Linked DNA regions of Arabidopsis thaliana. The main gene of each other region encodes a partner of the protein of the gene in region 3 in a complex. Each region holds a gene or a part of one and is shown on either strand. Other genes may lie near its edges. The genes, in order: AT2G28060, KIN11 and KING1.

Region 1 (7,418 bases), on a different chromosome or scaffold from region 3:
AAGAAAAAGAAAGTGATATTTGGTTATCTTTATAATCAAGCATGAAGAAACCAGCTACTTAAAATAAGAAAAAAATATTGTTTGTATGATAAATGGCTTACAGATTTTTTTTCATTTTTTCTCGATGTTAACGTTATTTGAGTAACTATTTACTATCTGAATGGGAAACACTATTTGGTTTTGTTGAAATTGGTGGCAAGTTTTAAGTGGGCTTGAAGAAGTAAAACGGCCCATACACAAATTTGCAATTATTTCCCTCTTTCCGATCATTTTCCTTGAAATCGTTCACGTGATCCATGATACTCCTCCTCCATTGCCACTCTATTTAGCAATTTACTCTTCTGCTCTCTTTTTTTTTTCTTTCTTTCAAGTTTCACCATGCAAAGACAGAAAATATAAGAAAATGCTTCATTTGGTATTCTTGGTTTTCCTATAAAATGAATATATCGACCTATCCAAGGCTAGTAGCTTGATTTTTGTAGTGGGTAACTTCAAAAGGAAGAGTCTCTCAAGACCAGGAGTTTGGTTCTCGGCGGTGGGAAAATGATTCATTTAGCCTGTTTTTGTTTGTAGTTCAAAAATCTACGTACCAAAACCCCGAAAATTTTGGTCAACCAAAAATAAAATCCGAACTATATAACTGCGTTATCATCTATTCGGCACTACATAGGAACTTGAGGTAACAAACTTAACATTTTCTTGTTTTTCTACTACAAGAAAACTGTCCAATTTTCGACCATGAATTTAGTCAGAAATTGGTCAAAAACAACCCTGAATAAAAGCAATAAAGAAGAGTTATCCAAAACTAAAAATTTGAATAAAAAAGCATAGAAAATAACACATACTTTTGCATTACATACGTCTTCATAAATATAGACACCAAAAGAATCAACACATCAGTCTTATTTGTATAATTAAATTCTCAAAATAGAAGAGAAAATAATCAAGGCGATATCTTGGACCGGGAGGTAACTTTAGATGAGGAACACTTAATGGAAACAAGAGGCTGATAATTTACAAACCGGCTCGGAGCGGATCTTGGTCGGAACCCTTTAGGCATACAACTCTTTACTTGTGTCCCATGAAAAATCTGATTCCTCGGATTCAATTTGACCGTGTCTTCGACTGATAAAGGCATCATCGACGAGCTTGGAACACTCTCCAGTGGTATTAGTCTCCCTCCAGCGTACAAGAATAAAAGGTTTAGAGTGATAATGACAATATGAACTCTTGTGTTGAACATTGGGTTTTAGTTTGAAGTAATTATTTTTGTTTTTTTGAGAGAGTTTGGAATGATAATGTGAGGGATATATAAGTGGGAGGAGATATACACTGGTTTAGGGTTAAAGTTCATAAATGGGCTCGTGAGTGATGGCTGGAAACATAAGAGAGAAGAGTAAGTAGGAGAGGACAGAGGCAAAATGGCTGGAAAATGGTATTAATCAAAATACGATTTTATATGTGTGATAGAGATACAAAAAAGTGTTGATGGGGTCGGGAAGATCAGAAAGAGGTAGGAAAGTCCGTGAGTTTCAGAAATTACAATCAAAGATCAAACATTTGTCTTTGCATTTATGAATTATGACACACTCACACGCAATTTTCTATATTTTCAAACTATTGTTTCTCTTGTTTTAAAATGGTTTGGAGATTGGACATGGATTTTTAAATATATATATTATTATGTACACGGTTGCATGGGTTTTCGGGACTATTGGATTTTGCTTTCTTTTGGATAACAAAAACACGATAAATATTTCATTAAACCATACAAATCTTCGATTGATAAATACATATACGAAAACATACCTAAGGAAAAGGAATCCATTGTTGTAGGATTTAGGTACCATGCGGTTTTCCAAACCATAGAGTAATCTCATATGTATTGAAATTTAAAAAAAAAAAAATACAAAGAAGAACTAAAAAACAGAAAAAAAAAACTAAGAAAATAGGGAAATTAAGTTGGAGTCTCTTTAATTTGTTTTTTTTTTGTCATCTAGAGTTATTTTAATGTTACCATGATGAAATACTTGATAAAATACAACATTAAACCGAAAGAAAACGAGATTTTTTCGAAGTTTAAGCCCTAAGTAAAAAAGTCATAAATAATACTACAAAGCAAGAGGAAAAAAGCAATAGTAGTTGAAATCCCACCAAAACTATAAGTCGCATAGTTCTTGAAGATTATTTGAAAGAAAAGTATCGCGGATGCCCACCACCAACCAACGATACACAAGTCCTCCTATTGAGATGAACAACAACCTTCAGATTTCAGAATTTTTAAGCTTTATAACCTGATAACCACTGCCCAAACTTTCTTTCGTATGTGGTGATGTCATAAATCGACAAGAAACAATAAACATTAAGATTATGTGCCTTCATTGGATCATGGACTGAAAATTAAGCTCTTCGATCAACTAAAACAAATTTATCATCATTGTTTTCATACTCGCTGCTAAGTTTGCAGGGGAGTATTAGAGTCCACAACTAAAACAAGTCCAAACCCAATGTGAGGTCTACATAAGTAGAATTTTAACAAGTTAGAAGATTCATATAAACAATTATGTAATGAGAACTATGATTGTAACTTTGAGAGAACTCTCTTCCTTCATCTTATGAAATATCAAATCTAGAAACATTGGCTTTTGGTGACAAACCTTAAGCTCCTTTACATTTTTCTCTTCTTTACATTTCAATAAAGCTCACTAGAACTATTGCATTTCTATCTTTATATAATAAGCTCAATGAACATCAATCTATATTTGTCTTAAAAATGTCAAATAAATAGAAGTTTCATGAAAGGACCAGACCTCGATCAAGTCTGAGAAGCATAGACAAGGAGTGAAGATTTAGTCTCGATAACACCATTCTTAAGAGACGAAAAAAGGTAAAAGATCGAATCGCATAGAATCAAAGAAATCTTCACATATTCAGAGGAAAAACAGCATGTCTAGCGAACACTAGAGTCGAACAAAAGCAAACCACCAATCACACATCCTTATTTGTCAATTATTTATTTTGGAAACTAAAAAGAAAGTTAATGAGTAAAATAGTTTCCATAAGAAGAAAAAAAATGTTTTCTGAGGAAAGAAAATGTTTTCGAAGGACAGCAAAGTTTAAGCCAATAAGCAAAACAAAAGCTGATGCTTGTCGCGACTGTGTTCGTCAAGAATCTCCAGGACGAACCCAATCTTCTCTCTCGAAGCTGTCTAAAATTAATCAATCAATCATTGAGCTAATCATATTCTAGGTTAAGTAAAAACAGAGTAAACCCTCTCTTTTTTTCTCTTTCTCTGCCTTTCTCAATTTCGTTTCGTCTCCTTCGTTCTTCCAATTTCCGTCTGATTTTATACGAAATTTGCATTGATATCGAAGTAAAATCGAATACCCATGATTCAAAATTTCATTTTTTATGCGACTGATTCCTCAATTTTGATTTTCCGGTGATTTCTAGGGTTTTCTATTAGGTGGGTGTTATTTATCATTTGATGGGTCATTTACTGATGATTTTGCAGGTTTTTGTTTTAAGGATTTGTGTAGACTTTCATTGCTGCTACGTTTTTGAAAGGGTAATTTGAAGGGCTTAGCTTCCCAAAGGTGAGAATTTTAACTCCAGTTTGGCTTCTGATATTGTGTTCATTGTTATGTATTTTTAAGCTTAGTAGTTGTGTTTTAAAGTTGTTCCAGTTTGGTTGATAAGTGTGTATGTGTGTTCATCAGATTGGGTGAGTACAGTTCTTTCATTGATATCTCCAGTTGATTTGTGGGAATTTTGTTCTGTGTGTATAGGATTTAGACCTCAAATATTGGATTCTCTTTAAGCATTTAAGTGCCTGGTTTCTTCATCATCACTTGATAGGAGGACTTTACAAATTTTATTCTGAACATGGAATTTGGTTAGCCGAATAACTTCGTGGGGATTAGTTTCTCGTGCAAGGAAATTCTTCATGGTTCTGTCTTGGAAGTGTTTGGAATCTTGAAGCTTGATAGATTTTCGATGTAGGCATGATGCGGTTTTCTTATAGGTTTAAAGGGTCTTTAGCTGAGATATGGTTCCTATGGTGTGTAATAGGTTTAAAGGGTCTTTAGATGAGATAAAACTGTGCAAAGAGTTCATATAATAAATGGTTAAATCCTATATATTATCTGTTCAGTGTACATAGAGAAGAATTAGCTGTGGAATTTGGATGTACATGATAATAACAATGTAGTTTATGTCTTCCAACTTGTCTCTGTTGTGATAATGATCAATGTGTTTCTATTCTAACTCCTGTGGTCCATTGATTTTTGAATCCTTTGTCCACCTTAGTACTTTCTTCGAAGAAGGCATGGGAAAATATGATTCTCTGGTCCAACTTTCTTAAGACTGTCTGCATCTTTGGATCCTTAGATTTGTCTACGGGATTATGAATTATTTGACTTTTGATACCGATTAGACAAAAGTCTTACATTTCACACAAATAAGAGTTTGCATCATTGTAGAGAACAACATTGTTTTCATTTCTGCTTCAGTGTTTTTGAGTTGAAATGTAAACACCTCTTTCTCTTAGATTAGTTTGAATGGCACTTGAGCTGGTGTGACCTACATTCATTTTGATTGTTTACTTTGCATGCTATTGCGGTTTAGTTATGATTATATTTTGTTTCAGGCACTAGGTGGCAATCTTATCCAAGATGAACAGTCAAAATCCTGATGATCATGTAAGCCAGCTAAAACACCTTTTTGCCTTCAACCAACTAATCGAGTAATTTCCAGTCTCCCGCTCGATTTTTCAATCTTTTATCGTTTTCTTAAACATAGGAGGACACAACGGTTGTGGGATTTGAAGTACCTGTATCACCGGTTTCAAGTTACAACAATGTGTATTCCTCAACCGAAGATGAGACAAGAGATCCTCCAGCAGTACCGCCACACCTTCAACACTCTCTATTAGGCAATCAGGGTAGCATGGAACTGGCTTATGCGCCACAGAATGTTGTCCTGAACCACCTCTATATCGAGAACCGAGACGCCCCAAGATCTGTTGTAGCACTCGGTTTCTCGCATCGGTTCAGGACTAAGTTTGTCACTGTGGTGATATACAAGCCTGTCCAAAGAAGAGGGAGCGCCAATGTTTGAATAATGATACCTCTTTTTAAGTAGTGTTGGGAATTTGCTTCTTTATGGATTGAATTTGGTATACAAAACCATCTGGTCCGTACTGAATTTTATTCTTCTCTTACAGATTCGATTTAGACGGTTTCTAGGTACATTCGATTGAAATCATCTTCTTGTTCGGAGTTTATATAAAATCTCCATGCATTTTTATTTTTTAGGCCCAAAAAAGCTGATAGACGTGGGCATTGTTTGTTTGTAATAACTCCCTTAGATTGGGTTTAGTTAAACGAGCCCAAATATCGCTAATGAAGTTCTTTACTTGCTCATATGTAGTGTTACCATAAATTATTTAAATCTTTCGTAGCTCCAAAAAGGAAAAAAAAAAAAAAAAATCTTAATCAAAACTTTCTATGTCCGAGATAAGTTACCAAACTAATGCTCTAAAACTGGATTGGATCGTCGGATCAATGCATTAGTCTAAAACTGGATTGGATCGTCGGATCATTGCATTAGTTCGGTTTGAATGTAGATCACTTATACTCTCGTTGTTTTTAATTAAGTGTAGTTTTAAGGTTTTTTATTTTTTTTTAATATAAGTGTTGTTTTCACTTTTCTATGCAAACATTAAATGTATTTAATAATTTTTAATTAATTATATTTTTTTACTGGTTGGATTAGTTGTAATTAATGATGTTTTTATAGGAAAAAGATAAATTAAATAAAATTTGTATGTTTTCTTAATTTGTGTGCAAAAACTTTAAACTACAAATATTCAGTAACAGAGGGAGTATATAAAAACAAAGTTGGTTTGTGCATGGGAGCTTATTTGCACAAAATTGATTAAAAAATGGGTTCTGGATATTAATAAGACTATGATTAATATCCAGAACCCTATATTTTTTTCAATTTCATCGAAAGTTTCATCAATGTAACGTTAAAACAAATTATACATCTTACAACCGTCAGAAACTACTTTAAATCCATGATATCACATATATGAAACTAACATTATTATTTGAACAAATTAAAAAACATTATATTACGCATTATAACATTGAAAAACAAAACAAAATAACTAATATAGAATAAAATAAATTGTATCCGGATTGGAAATTGCTTATCTGATATTTTTTTTAACCGTATTTTAACTTAGAACAAAAAAAACAGAGTGTAGGGAAACATAAATTCTACCAAATTCGAATATATAAGAAAAACATAAAAAAAAATTAACAAATAAATTAAATAATGGAAAAAGCAGATAGGAGAGCTAATGGTTTAGTGGCGAATCTAAATTCTGTCCAAAGAATTGTCTGACCTCCCCTAGCTCAACATCTTGGGAAGAATATTAATTTATCCGTTTTGTTCATCCGCCTAAAGAGATAATTTATCTGCAAAGTTTTTTTATATTTGTAAAGTCATTCGGTTTTGCCAAGTTTTACTAGGTCTAGGTAGATTAAAAAGTAAATTCGGTTTGAAAGTTATATTTGGGTTGGATTACTGTCCAAGTTACGGGTATACCGGTCCAAATTCAATAACACATCCAATAAAATTTTCGATCTTAAAACATCTTCTTTGACCTGTCCGGATAGGTAAATGTCTAAATCTCTTTTTGAAATTAGGTATGAAATCTCATAGAACTAGAATGTAACTCCAAAATGATTCTTGAACATGAGTGTGACTAGCCAAGAGCATACCAAATTTAAGATCATTATGATATGTCCAAACTCCAAATTTAAGCCACACTTATTTTCTCAAAATTATACAGAACTATGATTTACTAAAATTGGATTCTCTGTCTATTTTTGGTATAGCTATTATCCTAGTGAATTAGCACAATGTTATTATATGCGCTCTCTGCTAAAAGTAAAAACCAGCTATCTTGTCAAAACAAAAATAAAAAGTTTCTTAACCAACACATGAAACTGATAAATACTATATAATATAAAATTAACATATATCGCTATCAAATCATATATCGTAGGTCCATAATCTTTCTTTTAAAATTCATATGAGTCTTTTTAATTTATTAATTTTGTCGTGCTCATAATGTTTTCCCTCTAAATCCTAGTTTTTGTAGTTTTCTGCTATGCAGGTATTTGTAAACAACTTATATTTTTGGAAATTTGGACTCTAAAATATAGAAAAGGCTATAAAATAAACACTGTGATGTGGCATATGTGTTGTACACCTTTGAATCTGACAATAAATTACTCGATCTAGTGTAACTTTTGCATATGAGATTTTCTTTTGTCGTCTATATATTACTTTGTTTCAAAGTTTAATAATACAAAAAAAAAAGTGTCTTTCATTTGATTTGTTG
Region 2 (8,499 bases), 6.9 Mb from region 3:
GACGTTGACGCAGATAAGGCTGTGTTGACACCAAAACTTTGCAACTGATTCTGGTTTGAAGTGGTTTCATGATTAACTTGACCAGTCCCGAAGCTTTTGCCCGTCATTGAGCCCACCGAAGAGGTTGTTGTTCCACGGCCAACACCACCCGAAGTTGAATTTCCCTTATTTGAATTGTTTCCATTTTTATTTCTGGAATTTGACTTCGGATTGTGCTCCCACCAATCTAGATAGCCTATTTTCTTGAAGCAGTTGTCGGCAATGTGATCGGTGCGTCCACAGATGGTACATGAAACAGAGCTTCCTCTGTTGTCAGAAAAATTCCTAGAAGAATTGGTTTGAACAGCAAAACTGACGCCATCTGATCTTTCTTCATGAGTGCGACTTAGATTTTTGGATTCCTCGTCCAGAGTTAAAGCGTTGTAAGCGTCTTCTAGGCTTGGTAAAGGAACACGTGAAAGCAAATTTGATTTAACGGCTCCGTAGATGGTATCATCTAGACCCATTAAAAACTGATGCAATTTGTCCTCTTCTCGCTCTTTTCGAACCTCCTCCATTGTTTTTGCGTTTTGGTAATCGGCAAGACTCCCCCACAGCTGAGTTAGTTTGCCGTAATATGCTTCGATAGCAAGACCTCTTTGTCTGCAATTTGCCAATTCAGTTTTCAATCTTTGAACTCTCTGGCCGTTTTTCACTCCAAATCTCTTTTGAATATGAGTCCAGAGTTCATGAGAGTCATTGATGTGAGATAGGGACGAAGAGAGCTTTTCTTCAATCGTGAGTTTGATCCAAGAGACAAGAAGCGCGTTGTTAGCAATCCAGTCTTCAAAGTCGGGATCGTCGTCTGGTGGTTGAGGTATAGAACCGTCGACAAAACCGAACTTCTTTCTAGCTTTCAAAGCCAAGCATATGTTGTTGGCCCATTCGTCGTAGTTTGGACCACGCAACAAAGGCTTGGAGATCACGGTTCCGGGGTTCTCACCGGAAGTTAAATCGTATGGAGATATTGTACGGCGATTGGTGGTGGAGGTTATCAGAGCCGACGACGTAGCAGAATTCGTGGCCATGATTTTCTCCTTTGTGAGATAGTTTTAAAAAACAGAAAATAAGAAACAGAGTTGTTTTAGCGGAAGTTTAGATCATAGAATCGAACAAACCCTTGAGTAGTTTAGGTTTTGCTCTGATACCATGTCAAGAAACTCTTGTTTGTATAAACTGAATCTCTTAGGGTTTTAGGTTACATTGCTTGGTTTATATATAGGTTACAACTTGAGCATAAAGTTAACCTATTCTAAATATCAAAACCGACTAAGCCCATAGGCCCAATATATTCTCCCTCGTCATCTCAAAAATTCAAAGTTGAAGAAACTTATTTCAGTTTGCCCTCAAGCACAAGTAACTTTTAAAGAAGGAATAATCCATGTGATTGGAGAAGTCTTGCGGCCCACGAATAACAAGTGGAAGTGTTTTTCCTTAAATTGGCAGAAATTTAGGCAACCAGGAGAAGAAGGCTATACACACTTTTTCTGCGAAGGTGGCAGAAATTTATGACGGTGTTATGGACTATCATAAGGATACATGTTTTGCTTGTCCTTGGTTGTGTAAAGCTGGTTTCTTCTATGAATGTAGTAAAGAATGATGTTGTTTTCTGCTACACATGCAATGCGCCAAGATTTCTGAGCCACTAGTCCATCCAAGTCATTTGCATCCTTTATTCCTAACAACCAAACCGGGAGAGAAGCGAAGACATTTTTCAGTTTGCAAAGAGCTAGGACATTATTCCAGAAAGGAAACATTCAATTGCATTGAGTGTGACTACTTTTCTTTGTGTTTCAAATGTGCTACATTACCTCATAAGGTAATGTATAAGCATGATAAACATATGTTCACTCTTTCTTATGGGGATGAGATAAGTACAACGATGTATTGGTGTGAAGTTTGCGGTCCGAACCGACTGATGATGAAAAATCAGCAAAATAAATCCGAAGGAGCGGTTTTATGTGTGATGAGTACTGTAGTGTTACCCTACACATTCAATGTATGTTTGGGGTGGACTTATCCTTGAAGCCCGATATATTATTGTCCGACGGCGACCTATTTACTCCTTTTGCAAGAAGCATTGTCCACACAAAGTAGCTCTCCAATGTTCTGTATTAATATCGTGTTCCACATCTTGTATTGATGCTAAGGACTTAAGTTGGGTAGCCGAATTTTGTGAAATGGAATTTTGATGGACTCTGCGTGCAATGTTTTTAGGTATGACATGTATAATGTGTCTGATATAAACGTTGTATAAAATTGGCATCAGAGGAGAAATACAATAGTTAGAATGAAACAGCTAAGTTATGTACACATGATCAAACCTTAAAAACCATCAAAAAGAAGAAAGGATAGTTACTATTACAGTAGAGTTTAACTTAGAATCCAGGTATATAAAAGTAACCCGGCAAAGTAAACACTGCACCCACATATTATATTATGTTCTCTACTATTACAAACCATTGAACATGAAAGAAAAAAAATGTCTCAACAAATGGTTAAAACATTCAGATCACACGAAGCTCTGTAAGAAAGGCGGCGCATAGATCCAAGAAGAGAAACTGCGGACCGTTAACTCTCTGTATATCCAGCAAGTACTTCTCTTCCCGGGCTTTGTATAGCTGTTTCAAAATCAAAAGTGAACTCAGAAAGTGTATAATTGTTCTTCGAAAACAGTTGGTTCAAGTTCTAAAGAAGGTTTTAGTCTATGTCCTAGCTGGTTTAGTTTTGTTGAACTACTACTAGTGGGATAAAACAACATCAGGATCTTAGTCTTTGCTCCAGCACAATTCTACGAATGTAAACCCCGTTGATCGATTCATATCCCTAACAAACCGAACTAGGCAGTTGTTTATTTTCTCCAAGGAATGTTGTTGATACAAATGTATGTGTGAGTTTATAGTTACCTGAAGTTCAAATTTGATGACAGTGGGTGAAGTCATGGCACAGTCATCCTCAATGATGCTGGATTCATCTCTGAAGTGCAGCTGATTGTTGACCATAGTATTCTGACCATCAGCTAAACCAGGAACCCATCGACATTTCATGTTGTAGTGACCAATCTTCTTCCAACACACATTGAGTTCTTGAAGAGCTTTCAAAACTTCATTCATGATTTCACGAGGATGCGCATGAGACTGTTCAAAACAACAAGGTAACAGAATGATTATCGATTTGGCTATGTAGAGGCAAAGAGTACAGATATCTGATTGTGTGTTGCATTCAGAAGACTTTATGGTGAGGAACAAAAAGAATCAGTAATCAGGAACAAACCTGAAGTCCAAGAGCCCATTTTCGATCAACAGGGACTTGTGATCTTGCTCCCAACCCGTAGTGATCCACATGTGCAGGAATCCAGTGGCCTACAGGTGAAGCGCCCGCTTCAGGTGTGCGCATAGGATTGGAACCACTGTCCTAGATGAGTAACGTTGAAAAGGTGAACATGTTAGTCAAAAATGTTGGAAAGCTATCTACTGAGAGGAAAGAAAAACACATACTGTTGTCTCCTGAAACTCGGATTCTAGATAGCCACTTGGAACACGGAACCGGTTATCCAATAACAGGTAGTATGTAACAGTAGCCTGGTACAAGGAGCAAATGGCATTTCAGTGACTATTGGAAACTAGTTTCGGGGATTAAAAGCATTAGAGACAGGAAACTACATACATCGTTTTGTGTTCTGTTGCGTAGAGATTCCAAAACCTGGTTTCTATCAAATCCCATGTTAACCACTTCTTGAACTATCTCCTCATTGATCTGCAAAACATAAGAGATATTGTTACTATCACAGCAAGTGAACTCTATTAATCTCCAAATGGCACTGAAACCAACCTTTTTAGCCTGCTCTACTGTATCCGGTGGAGAGACAGCAAGATAACGAGGGAGATGAGTCTGGAACCAACGGTGTTGACGGATCTCAGGAATGGTGATTCGTTTCACCGGGTCAACTATAAGCATCCTTGGGATCAGGTCTCTAGCCTCAGATGATAAATGACTTGGAAGAGTGTAAATCCCACCCTAAAGAGAAAAAAAACACCTTGATAAGTTACTTCACATACATATGAATCCATTTAAGAAGAGTCTTTTAGCTGAATCAAAGTATAACGTACAGTACCTTAATTTTCTTGAAAAGGTTGGGAATGTTTTCATCATCAAAAGGAAGAGTACCGCATAATAGAGCGTACAATATAACTCCGCAACTCCATACATCTACTTCAGGTCCAGCATATAATTTACCTGATATAACCTACAACAAGAAGTAAGAGATAAGACACTCATAAGAGAAACGAGACATAGTCACATAGGTGAAAAACAATTCAGTAACTTTACTAAACTATATACCTCGGGAGCAGCGTAGTTGGGGCTTCCACAACTCGTCTTTAGAAAATGACCATCCCGCATAACATTACTCAACCCAAAGTCTGCAATCTTAATATTACACCTCGAATCCAATAGTAAATTCTCAGGCTTCAGGTCTCTATGGACAACCATATTACGATGGCAGTACTCTACACCAGATATTATCTATTCGGATATGAGTCAAACACAAACAACACTCAAACTCAAAGATGACATGATACGCTACAAACACACTGGTTATGGTAAAGAGAAAACAAACCTGCTGGAAAAAGTTACGAGCCTCATCTTCTTGTAATCTGCCTTTCTCAACAATATAATCAAAGAGCTCTCCAGACTTGACATACTCCATCACAACATAAATGTCACTCGTGGTCTCTATTACCTCATACTGCCGAATAATATGAGGATGCATAAACAACCGTAGAATCTTAATCTCCCTCCTCACTGTAAAGAAGAAATATACATACATTAAGATAAAAATACATACTAAAACCTAATAAGCAGAAACATTTGATTATCAAAGCTTTTGTTCTAGAAACCACTAAAGCTAAAAGTAACGGTGCTTGTATATACCTTTCTCTTCCATCTCCATGTTCTTGATCTTACGACGATTAAGGATTTTGATAGCAACCTTATGCCCTGTGACAACATGCTCTGCTATTTTCACCTTCCCAAAAGACCCAATTCCAAGAGTTTTACCAAGCTTGTAATTCGGTAAAATCGATTCCACTCCATTATTGCCAAATCTATTTGATGAATGATCCATTTCCTGTGTCCCAATTCAACATCAAACTCATAAGTAAGCTCTCTTAGCAACTTCTCTATAGAAAAACATCAGTAAACATATTAACTTGCTCAAATAAAAAAAAACATTCTTCAACTCAATTTTCATTTCATCAAATCTAATCTAAACCAACCATAAGCTTGTAAGAAAACTGACAAGAACCACCGACATAACTACTTTGTAATGGTGGTTTTGGTCTGAAACCAAACAAGAGACTCACAAGTTTGAGTTTAGAAGACAAAATTGATAAACCTTTACAAAGAAAAAAAAGTCAATTTACCTGAAAAGCTTGTTAATTTCGAAAACCGTCTTGGAGTAGATCCGAGAATCAAAAACCCAGATAAATTGTTCAAACAAAGAGCGAAGAAATATACAGAAACAAGGAGAATCAGATTGATGGGTATAAATAGGGCAGAATTGTAAATTACGATGTAATCTGAAGAAATTCTTGGGGAAGTCAGATTTCCAACTCGTAGGTGACGCAGAGCTGAGTCAGGTTTTTTTAAGTCTTCATGGTGAAAATTGGTAATGACGAATCAAGAAACCACAAAACCCAGATAAACATTTATTGCCATTTGCAAGCCCTTAAATTAGGGCCTTTTTGCCCATTTTCTGTTTTTGTTTGAAAAACTAGTTTTTTAAGGTTTAAAATTTTTATATTACTGTTTTTATGATCTATATATACATTTTTGCAGCCACTTTGTGAAATAAATCCTAGAGTTGGAGTTTATTTACAGTGGCTGCCACTCGCATTTAATAATTGTTTTTGATAATTAGAAAGAAAATCTTTAAATTAAATATTTGACAATCTTCCCAAAATCTTTCCACATTAACTACACGATTAGTTACTAAAATAAAACTTCCGAAATATTTAATATCATTTAATTACTACAAAATTATCATTTTTGATATTGTTTTTCTACATGACTATAATAATTCGATTATAATCATCAAACCGCAGAGATATTAGATAGCATTTAATTACTACAAAATTAAAAAATATTTAGACAATGATTCATAAACATATCATAAATAAAATCAGTGAATTTTTTTTACGGGACGGATTGGCGGGACGGGTTTGACAGGACGTTACTTAATAACAATCGTAAACTATAAAATAAAAATATTTTATAGATAAATATAATTTGCAAATTTTTATATATAGTAACTTTAAAAAATAAATTGTCTCCGCGGTATACCGCGGGTTAAAATCTAGTTTTCTATATATAAAAGCGTGCTAATGATAAAGCGGATAAATTAAGAAGTTTCAGACGCATTTTATTATATAAAGTAGAGTTTTTAAAGTTAATAACTCAACTGATCGTGACACGTAACAAGTCAATCGTTCATATGTTGATATTGTGTCGGATTTTTTTTTACTTTTTTCCTAAAAGAAATAGGCAATTTAACAAAAACAAATATTTACATATACTAATTTATATGTCTATATCTAAAAAAAATAAGTTATAGTTTACTTAACTAAGAAGGGAAACTAACAATAAGATGGAGTGTATAGAATTAAATTGTATTTGTATTGCAAAATCGAATTGTATTTGAAATGTATACAATCAAATTTAATTGTATTTGTATTATAATAAAATAGATATTTAAATTGTATTGCATAATCGAGATTTTTTAAATATTTTTTCTAAAAGAAATAGGAAATTTAACCAATAAAAATACATACACCAATTTATATTTCTATATCTAAAAAATTTAACTTAAAATTTTCTTAACTAAGAAGGAAAACTAACACAATAAGATGGAGTGTATAGAATAAAATTATATTTGTATTGCAAAATCAAATTGTATATGAATTGTATGGAATCGAATTAAATTGTATTTTTATATAATAAAATAGATATTTAAATTGTATTGCAAAATCGAGATTTTTTAAATATTTTTTCTAAAAGAAATAGGAAATTTAACAAAAACAAATACATATACCAATTTATATTTCTATATCGAAAAATTTAACTTAAAATTTTCTTAACTAAGAAGGAAAACTAACACAATAAGATGGAGTGTATAGAATAAAATTGTATTTGTATTGCAAAATCAAATTGTATATGAATTGTATGGAATCGAATTAAATTGTATTTTTATATAATAAAATAGATATTTAAATTGTATTGCAAAATTGAATATGTAAGATTGAAATTTGGTTTAAGGAAATACTAAATTAAATACTGAAAAGTATATGAATTATTATTTAAAATTTAAATATCATCAATAAGATGGATGTAGTCTATAGAATTAAAACAGTTTATTAAGATAAAATAGATAGTTCAAATGTAGAATAATTGCTGAGAATGCCCTTTTCACACTACCTTTTTCAGTTATACCCTTTCATATTTGACATTTTCATTTCTACTTTCAGTAAATTTTTAATGACTATTTTACCCTTATTTGGAAATTGTTTTTTGCCTAAAATATTCCAAATAAATTTCCTGCCAATAAAATACCATAGTTTTTGTTTTTGAGCATTTTTTTTAATACACCTTTTACACAGAATTCATTGTATATACTCGTATATAGCTTTCATTGTATTTAACAACTGTATAACCATAATACAGTACTGCTTCCAACTGTACAGTATAGATACACCGTATAAGCCGTATTTTAGAACACTAGTGTTTTATAAATGTATGTGGAAAGTTGAGCCTAATAGTTAGGCATGTCAACTAGAGATAATGCTCGTATGCTGGCCTGGCCTTACTCTAAAAACAGCGAATTCGGGTTAAATATATATATGTCTTGAAAAATTTGCTCTTTTAGACTAAATGTTTTTGGAGCTTAGTCCGGCTAGGATCGGATCGGACAAAAAGTCCTACATAAATATTTTGATATTTGTTTTGTTAAATATTTTTGTTAATATGAAAATTGTTTTACAAAAAAATTTGAATTGAAAAACCTAAATCTAGTTTTCTAATTGTGCCTTACATCTTTGAAGTATTCTGATTTTATATTTTTATTTAGTATAAGTTTAAACAATTTATTGGATTATTTCTTTGTTTTTAAACTTTTTCTTTCCTTTTTTTTTGGTTCAACAAAACTTTTATTTTAAATTAACTTAGTTTTAGTGGTTATTTAAATTTTGATTGACTCATGTCATACATATGTTCTTTCTTTTTCAGAGATATTATAAATTATAAGTTTGTTTATTCGAAATAAAAAGCCCGGAAAAGTCATGTAGCCCTATTATGGTCAAATTGGGCTTTAAAATATAGGATTAGAAGTTTTATGGACCGGGTCGGTCTCGCTCTAATATATGTAGGTTTGTATGTCTTAATTGCATATTTCTATATACTTTATCT
Region 3 (7,610 bases):
AGCATTTCGCTTCTTCTCATCAAACCCTAAAAACCCCAAATCCCGAAAATTCACTTCCACCGAAATCTCTGCAATTTCCAGAAAATTCCCTGCTCTAGATCCTTTCAGTCCTTTGAAACGAAATGGGTTTGTCATAATTCCATTCAATATATCTAATTTCGTTATTCCATAGCTAAAGTTTCCAACTTTCAGAAAATCCCAAGTTTAGAATCTGCTTTGATTTTTAATGGTAGAATTTTGTTTGAATTGTTGTGAAGGTACTTATCATGGGATGATTATTTCATGGCGATTGCATTCCTTTCTGCAGAACGATCCAAGGATCCTAACAGGCAGGTAAATTTTGTTGTTTGTGATATTTGAACAACATGAGTATCCAAACAGTTATATATGTGTAAGCTGCTCAAAATGTATTATGTTCATGATACTATATAGTTTTCTATCATCAAAGTGGAGGTATTCTTTCGGTGTTAAGATATCGCACTGGCTGATTTTGTAATGAATGGATGCATTGGTGTTTTGATGTCTAGCACATTTAGAGTATAGTTTATGGACTTTAAGGTCTTTAGGATTAGAGTATAGTTTTGACTAAAGGTTCACAAATTCGAAATTTATATCTTCCTTTTGTGGCAATTTCATATCCATTTCTGATGGATCATATGATGCAAAAAGGATGGATTTTGTTGGATGCATTCAAAAATTGACTATCTTTCCCGGTCTTATGGCTGTGCAGGTTGGCGCATGTTTGGTGAGCCAAAATGGTGTAATCCTTGGTAAGATAATACGATCACACTTGTGTTTTGATCTCTTTGAACAACATGAAGTGTGGTTGTATAGTTTATTTCATTTTGTCACTTAGCTGGTACATGCGAGACACATATAAACGAGGACTCAAAAACTTTCATCTTTCATTTAGGGATTGGCTATAATGGTTTTCCAAGAGGCTGCTCTGATGACAAACTTCCTTGGGCCAAGGTATTACCTTCATCTGAATTCTAAGAATATACAGAAGTTGTCTAGAGATAATGCAAGGAACTTTCTCCCCTAGATTTATTAATTTTCTCTTAATTTGCTCCCCACCAATTTTGCAGAAATCAAGAACTGGGGACCCATTAGAGACCAAGTATCCGTAAGTACTAATCTTAGTGATGCAAACTATGGCTGAATCTTTAAGTTCTTGTTTGATGAGTATTGTGCACACTTTCTTTGGGAATCTGTAATACGGTGAGATGTTTCAGTTCTCATCCGTTTAGGCTCATTGCTAAGCTCTGATGTTCATGACTCTGATTTTGTAGATATGTTTGTCACGCTGAAGTCAATGCCATACTAAACACAAACCACGCATCGGCGGCTGGCCAGGTTTGTTTCTTTGGAATTTGTTCAGTGTTTATTTTCTCACAAATCATGGTGTTTCTGGCTTGAGTGAAAAGATTAAAACTTTTAAAGTATCCTACACAAGATCATTGTCAGAATATTCTCTTTTAGGTTTCTGCGCAAAAGCTAATAAGTTGGAAATGCTATTTGGTATAGAAAACTTAGGGAACTCTGCTGCAGTTTCTGTTCCGAAGTATTTGTGTGTGGATGGTTTATATGAGTTTGTTTTGTGCTCCTCGAATCTCTTGCAGAAGCTTTATGTGACAATGTTCCCTTGCAATGAATGTGCCAAGATTATTTTACAGGTTTGTTCTATATACCATTGGCTTGATTTGTCAAATTTGGATCCTTAATAAGCTACTCTAGTAATCTTTTATGGTCAATGTCTTCAGCTAAGCAGTCATATAAAAACCAAATGTTCTAGTTAGTCCAATTAACCAATTTGATGCAAGTAGATCATCACAATCATATGGACTTTTGTCATTTCGGTTTTCTTTCTTGCAGTCTGGTGTTGCTGAGGTAATCTATTTTGTGGAAAAGAGACCAAATGACTCAGATGTTGCCTATGTAGCTTCTCACAAGCTCTTATCCATGGCAAACGTCAAAGTAATTAAAGCCACTTAGATTTCCACATGAAATTTCTCTACAGTGATTGTAATGGGAAGTCTCATTTGGTATCTAAATCTGTCTGAAACCAAAATTTTCAGGTCAGGAAACATCAACCAGAGATGGATGAGATCTTGATCAAGTTCGAAGAACACTTACTCCAACCAGAGACCTAATTGTTCAAATTCAAAATGTAGGGCCAAATCCGAGAATCTTAAGAGTTATTGTATTTCAGACATATTCACTCAAAGACAGGCTCTTTCTTCTTTTCTTATTTCTGTTAAACGTTAATAACACAATTTCGAGAACTTAAGCACAAACAGACAGAAGCATTATCACCAAACAAAAGACAATTTACAGAAGAAAGATACCATTTTTCTCTCAGACTCGGTAGTTTTCGGGAAGAGGCATAACACCATCAAAGAAATCTCCAAAATAGCCGGATGGCTCATGGACAAGTCTTGCAATGATGTCTCTAAGAGTGATGAGTCCTTCAAGGTTACCAAAATCATCCACAACATATATCCTATGGATCTTCTCCGCGTCTAACATCAAGATCAGTTCCTTTAGTGTATGGTTCTTCGTGCAAGCAATCACACCACTCATGATAGGAGCTGATGTATCCCCGCACTTCTCAAGATGCTCTCTAACAGATACTAAGAAGTTCTTCGTTGTGATTGACCTAAAATAAAGAGAGAGAAAGGATTGAAGATTTGACAATGCTGCAAAACTCGGTGTATCATCATCACAAGGATTTGTGAAGTATTAACCTGTAGTCATGGTAGATCTCAGGTGCAGTGAGGAGAAATTGAACATCTCTAAGGCTTATGTTGCCTACTGGCTTCTCGCTATTCCTTTCAATGACAGGTATGCCTCCGATTCTCTTTCTCCTCATCAGCTTGAATGCCTGAAGAACTGGTTCATCCTCATAGATCTGAAAGAGAAATAATGATCTGTTAAAAAAGGAAAAAAAAAACTCTCAATGGAGCTATGAGTTAGATTACAAACTGACCTTTATGATATGGTCCTTTGACATAATGGGAAGACCGACTTCAGAGAGAGTTTTGATTCCCCAATCCTCAAACCAGAGAAGCCCCGCGCATTCTGCCAGCATATGTATAACTCCTGATTGTGTGATAATGTTCTCGATCTTTGCTACACCTAAATCAACCACCGGGATGCTCTTCATTTTGTATTTAGAAAGAAGTAACAGCATGGTCAAAAAGGAGTTCTCTTTCTGCAGAGCCAGGAACGGTGCCCAGCGGAATGTTCCAGAGATATCTCGAACCTGTCAGAGAGAATATCCAACGCATTTCAGAAGCCGTAATCAGGAGAAAAAAGTCAACTGAAATCAGGTCCTTCATAAAAAAACAAGCTTCACCTTGGTGTTCTTGTATAGCTCTGAAGAAGTAAGGACCTCAAAGAAGTTTCCAGAAGTTACTGCTGAATCTCCGTTATCCAGAACATCGGTGGTGAAATCATGAGAAAATCCATTTGAAGCTGCAACAGCAGGGCTCCTTGGAGATGGTGGCTCCAACTGTTTTTTAAAGGAGACAAGTAGAGTACAGACATGAAGTATAGTTCACTAGGTACCACAATCCAATTTGATCATGACAAAAACAAGTCGCCTCTCGTATTTTTTGGAGAACAATTACCTGATGCAAAAGCCAGACAACAATGCCTGGAAATTCCACAATACCGATGTAGCGATCAATCCAACTGGCATCTTCAGGCGCATCAACATCTACAACAGGCGCGCTCAAGACCTTGAATTTCGATAGTGTCTGAACAGCTTCAGCCAAACTTGTGTCTGATCTTATCTCAATATCTATATAGGGAAACCACAAAGATGTGAGACAGCAGAACTGAATCAATAAGTACTCTGATTCTACAAGGAGACTAAGAAACAAAAACCATCAAGAACTAATTCTGATTCCCTAAATCGAACTGATTCGAGTATCCAACAAGCTGGATTGAATTCCAAATTCTGACTTATAAAACTTTCAATAACTTGAATTTCAACACACAGCACATATTCCTACTACAAGTCATCAACAAACACATACCAAGAGATCACAGAACCCATCAATAATTGCATCACAAAAATCAAAATCAATCTCCATAGAACATGATTCAAATTCAACACAATTACCAGTTCCAATTATAGATCAGCTCATGGTCAAACACCCACATCATCAAAATCCTCATACCTTGTGAATCAGAAGAGAGAGGGAAAGCAGAGACAGGGATGCTCTCAAAGCAAGCGTTGAGCTTCTCGTTAGGACTGAGCTGTGGTTTCTGCTCATCCCAGAGATCTTCCACACGCATCCCTAGCTTAGCTTCCGGGCTCGACACGTCACTCCGATGACCTAAGCTCTCGCTTCTCATTATCTTTATCTCCGGAACAGTCGCCATCTTCTCCGTTAAGTCAACAGTGAAAAGGTACCGTCTTTATTCTCCGGTAACACAGAAAGATAAAAATAAATCCTCTCTTTTTATTTTCCGTCAGAAGTTTTCTAAAATTGGCTGTGATGATCTTTGTAACTGAACTATAGATTGAAAGATACAGTACACCATAGTAGAGAGATCGTGAAGCAGAGACAAATTCATAAACCCTGTTGTCTTAAATCTTATGAATGAAGCCCTACATAGTTTTTAATTTATCAAAAACATCCTTGAATCTTTCAGTTTCATTATAAAGATACGGGTTTATTTTGAAACAAAATGGATTTCATTGGGTGGAACTGTGATTTGTTATAAAAAAATTCAAGTGTTGTTTTGGTTAGTGACTTAAGATCTCATCCGTTCAATTCAGTGCTTTTGACACGTGGAAAGAGTAGCGGAGATCATTTGGGTATTGGTCAGGAATAGCGAAAGATAATGATTATAATAATAATAATGATAATATATCTCCATTTGTCGAAGTCGTACTTATCTCTATCCTTTATATAGTTTCCACTTTCCACGACATATTTCATTTATTTAATTGGATTGTATATAATTATTAGAAATCCGCCAAAAATTAGCAGCCGACCTATGAAATGGATAACTATCTTCTTCTTTCTTTTTTATACAAATTACTAGATCCTAACTTTTACGTATGTGCGGATTCATATTTTTAATTCAATGTAAATTATTTTTTTTTATTTTGTAATATATATTATAATACAATATATTAGATATTTGAAATCTCATATACATATAAAATAGAACTTTTTAAATAGATTTTTAAAATATATAATATTTTGTTATAATTAAACTTTGTAATAGTATAAATATTATAAAGTTAAGAATAATAATCGAAATTCAATTATGTTGGTATATAATTATATTTTAAGATCCGAATTCACACAGATAAATAACCCAAACTAAAACCAAATTTATATCCTATTTTACACCAGTAATCAAACTGTTATAATGTTTTGATTACTGTTATAACAGTTATAATGTTTTGATTAGTTTAGAAAATAAAAACGTATATTTGACTTATATTTCTTGGAATGGAAAACCTGTGATGTATGTATCATAAATTTTTCGTCTCATAACCCGTCTGTATATGTGGAAAAAAAATACTACCAACCTGTAAACATCACAAATAGAATTTGTGTCACAAAATACGTACATGCTATATAGTGTTCATAACCCAAACTCATACCAGTTAGATATTTAATTTGATGTCAAGTTTGGTTTCAAATTATTTTATATAGTACTCATAATCCAAATTATTTTTGTTGGATAATTTGTTTTGAATGAAAAATGTATTAGTTTACATTATTTCAAAAGTTTGTTCAATAATATATTATGGATTTATTTAAAAAAAAATCAGGTTGAAAAAAAGAAAAAAGAAAACCAAAATATTTCAAAATAAGTATGTACAATTTATTGTTTATATATTTCTAAATGTAAAGCATAATTATAATTATTTTAAATTAATCAGAATTTATTTAAAAATACTAACAATCAATAGTATTTTTGTAATATTTTACCCTTCGTAAGGTTGTTTATTTTCAATGATTCCCAATTAATAGTATAGATGTTTAAGAACTACAACACGAAATTTGTTCACCAAAACAAAAAATATGCAACATTAGGACTTTCAAAAAATTATTCATCCTAATACTATTTTCGTCTAAATATACTTTGCTTTCCTAAAATAATTGTCTACAATAAAAAAGTTATAAATTAATATTTAATAAATTCTAATTTTATATGCGGCTATTATAATATTTGACGTTACTCCATAAAACAAAAAGAATTCAAAATATGCTATGTATATATATTGGAAAGAAAAAGAACACTAGAAAGAGAAAAACAAATATAGTTAGAGAGATCAAATTTGTATGTATTGACTTAAAATTAGGCTAAGTAGACCAAGTTGATCATTTCAGAATAATGTCTCTTTAGATTCTATTTTATGACTTAAGCATGTGTTTTACTTGCCTTATAGATGACCTGAACATGTTAAGAAACTATTTCTCATATATTTAGGGTTTTGTACATCAACATATTTATATAAGAATAAGAGACGAGACTCTAGTTTTTTTCAATTAAGACATTACCTAAAACAGAGTAATCAAATATTATGAGATAAATGTGAATCGTAATCGTATCACTAACACGCCCCCTCAAGATGGAGAGGCTTGTGACACTCCAATCATCAACACATCTGCTAATTGGTCCTTTGTGTTGATATGAACTACTCGGAGAGCACCTTGTTGAACTTAACCACGGATGAAATGATAATCTATAGCAATATGCTTCATCTTTGAGTGTAAGACCGGATTAGCACAAAGGAAGATATTTTTGACGTTGTCGCAGTACACAACAAGTGGTGTGTTGAAAGTAATTCCAAGTTATGTGAAAATATTACATATATACCCAACTTAGTTCAGAGGCCGTGTTTGCGACAACCCTATACTCTACTTCTATAGATGATCTTGCCACCCCTTCCGTTTCTTGGTTGTCCAAGATATTGGGTTTCGTCGTCCTAGGTAGATGTGAAATTCCGGATGAACCAAGAATCGTATTCCCCAAACTAAGAACCACTGAGTATCACTTTATTAGAAATCTGATTAAGAAGTTTACAACTACCTTAATTGGTTTTACACAAGATCTAAACTACTATATCTTGTCACCTGAGATTTCTCTAAACACACAAGAGTATATCACAAGAACACACTCTTTGATCTCTCTAGAATTCCAATCAGACTAAACCTTAGTCTCTAACAATGAAAAGCGTTGCACTAGCTTTTTCACTCACAATCATGGCCAACTCTAGCAAGCACCTTAGCACCTCTATTTATATCATCGAGGTCTTTGGTCTTCTAGGTTAGTCTTCAAGATCTTGGATCACTCCAGATCTTTGCGTGAATATCTTCTTTCCAAACCGAACTCATTCTGTTGTGATCTCCACGTCATTCGTTCATTTGGCGGTATATCCACGTCAGCATCAATTACTTGATCTTCACTTTAATCTTCTGAAACAGCTTCCAGTTTGTTCCAGCAATCAACACTCCTTCTGGTTTGACCTGACTGAAGGTGCACTAACAAGATGTACGAGTACATAATCGTCTGAATCTCACCGCAATCTGCATTTGAATATGCATGAAGAATGAGTTTGTTGTTTGCCGAGA

What was found.
Region 1: KING1 (region 3) and AT2G28060 share a complex: the UniProt entries of both Arabidopsis thaliana proteins name them as parts of the probable heterotrimeric complex.
Region 2: KING1 (region 3) and KIN11 share a complex: the UniProt entries of both Arabidopsis thaliana proteins name them as parts of the probable heterotrimeric complex.

The regions. Positions count from the first base shown.
Region 1 is NC_003071.7:11,947,875-11,955,292, reverse strand, and holds AT2G28060 (5'-AMP-activated protein kinase beta-2 subunit protein), read left to right. Parts: upstream 1-3,039; 5' UTR 3,040-3,250; exon of another isoform or gene 3,251-3,515; 5' UTR 3,516-3,597; intron 3,598-4,649; 5' UTR 4,650-4,674; coding exon 4,675-4,701; intron 4,702-4,801; coding exon 4,802-5,119; 3' UTR 5,120-5,422; downstream 5,423-7,418. UniProt on the Arabidopsis thaliana protein: Regulatory subunit of the probable trimeric SNF1-related protein kinase (SnRK) complex, which may play a role in a signal transduction cascade regulating gene expression and carbohydrate metabolism in higher plants.
Region 2 is NC_003074.8:11,126,347-11,134,845, forward strand, and holds KIN11 (SNF1 kinase homolog 11), read right to left. Parts: upstream 5,760-8,499; 5' UTR 5,611-5,759; exon of another isoform or gene 5,463-5,610; intron 5,168-5,462; 5' UTR 5,165-5,167; coding exon 4,972-5,164; intron 4,843-4,971; coding exon 4,658-4,842; intron 4,564-4,657; coding exon 4,381-4,563; intron 4,286-4,380; coding exon 4,154-4,285; intron 4,057-4,153; coding exon 3,871-4,056; intron 3,796-3,870; coding exon 3,706-3,795; intron 3,621-3,705; coding exon 3,537-3,620; intron 3,454-3,536; coding exon 3,313-3,453; intron 3,177-3,312; coding exon 2,946-3,176; intron 2,661-2,945; coding exon 2,547-2,660; 3' UTR 2,274-2,546; downstream 1-2,273. UniProt on the Arabidopsis thaliana protein: Catalytic subunit of the probable trimeric SNF1-related protein kinase (SnRK) complex, a central regulator of cellular energy homeostasis, which, in response to seemingly unrelated darkness, sugar and stress conditions, activates energy-producing pathways and inhibits energy-consuming processes.
Region 3 is NC_003074.8:17,984,341-17,991,950, reverse strand, and holds KING1 (SNF1-related protein kinase regulatory subunit gamma 1), read right to left. Parts: upstream 4,574-7,610; 5' UTR 4,393-4,573; coding exon 4,188-4,392; intron 3,806-4,187; coding exon 3,633-3,805; intron 3,515-3,632; coding exon 3,359-3,514; intron 3,266-3,358; coding exon 2,990-3,265; intron 2,912-2,989; coding exon 2,748-2,911; intron 2,660-2,747; coding exon 2,359-2,659; 3' UTR 2,188-2,358; downstream 1-2,187. Other genes in the region: AT3G48540 (Cytidine/deoxycytidylate deaminase family protein), read left to right, coding at 1-126, 258-333, 731-770, 914-972, 1,089-1,126, 1,293-1,356, 1,623-1,676, 1,876-1,977 and 1 more. UniProt on the Arabidopsis thaliana protein: Regulatory subunit of the probable trimeric SNF1-related protein kinase (SnRK) complex, which may play a role in a signal transduction cascade regulating gene expression and carbohydrate metabolism in higher plants.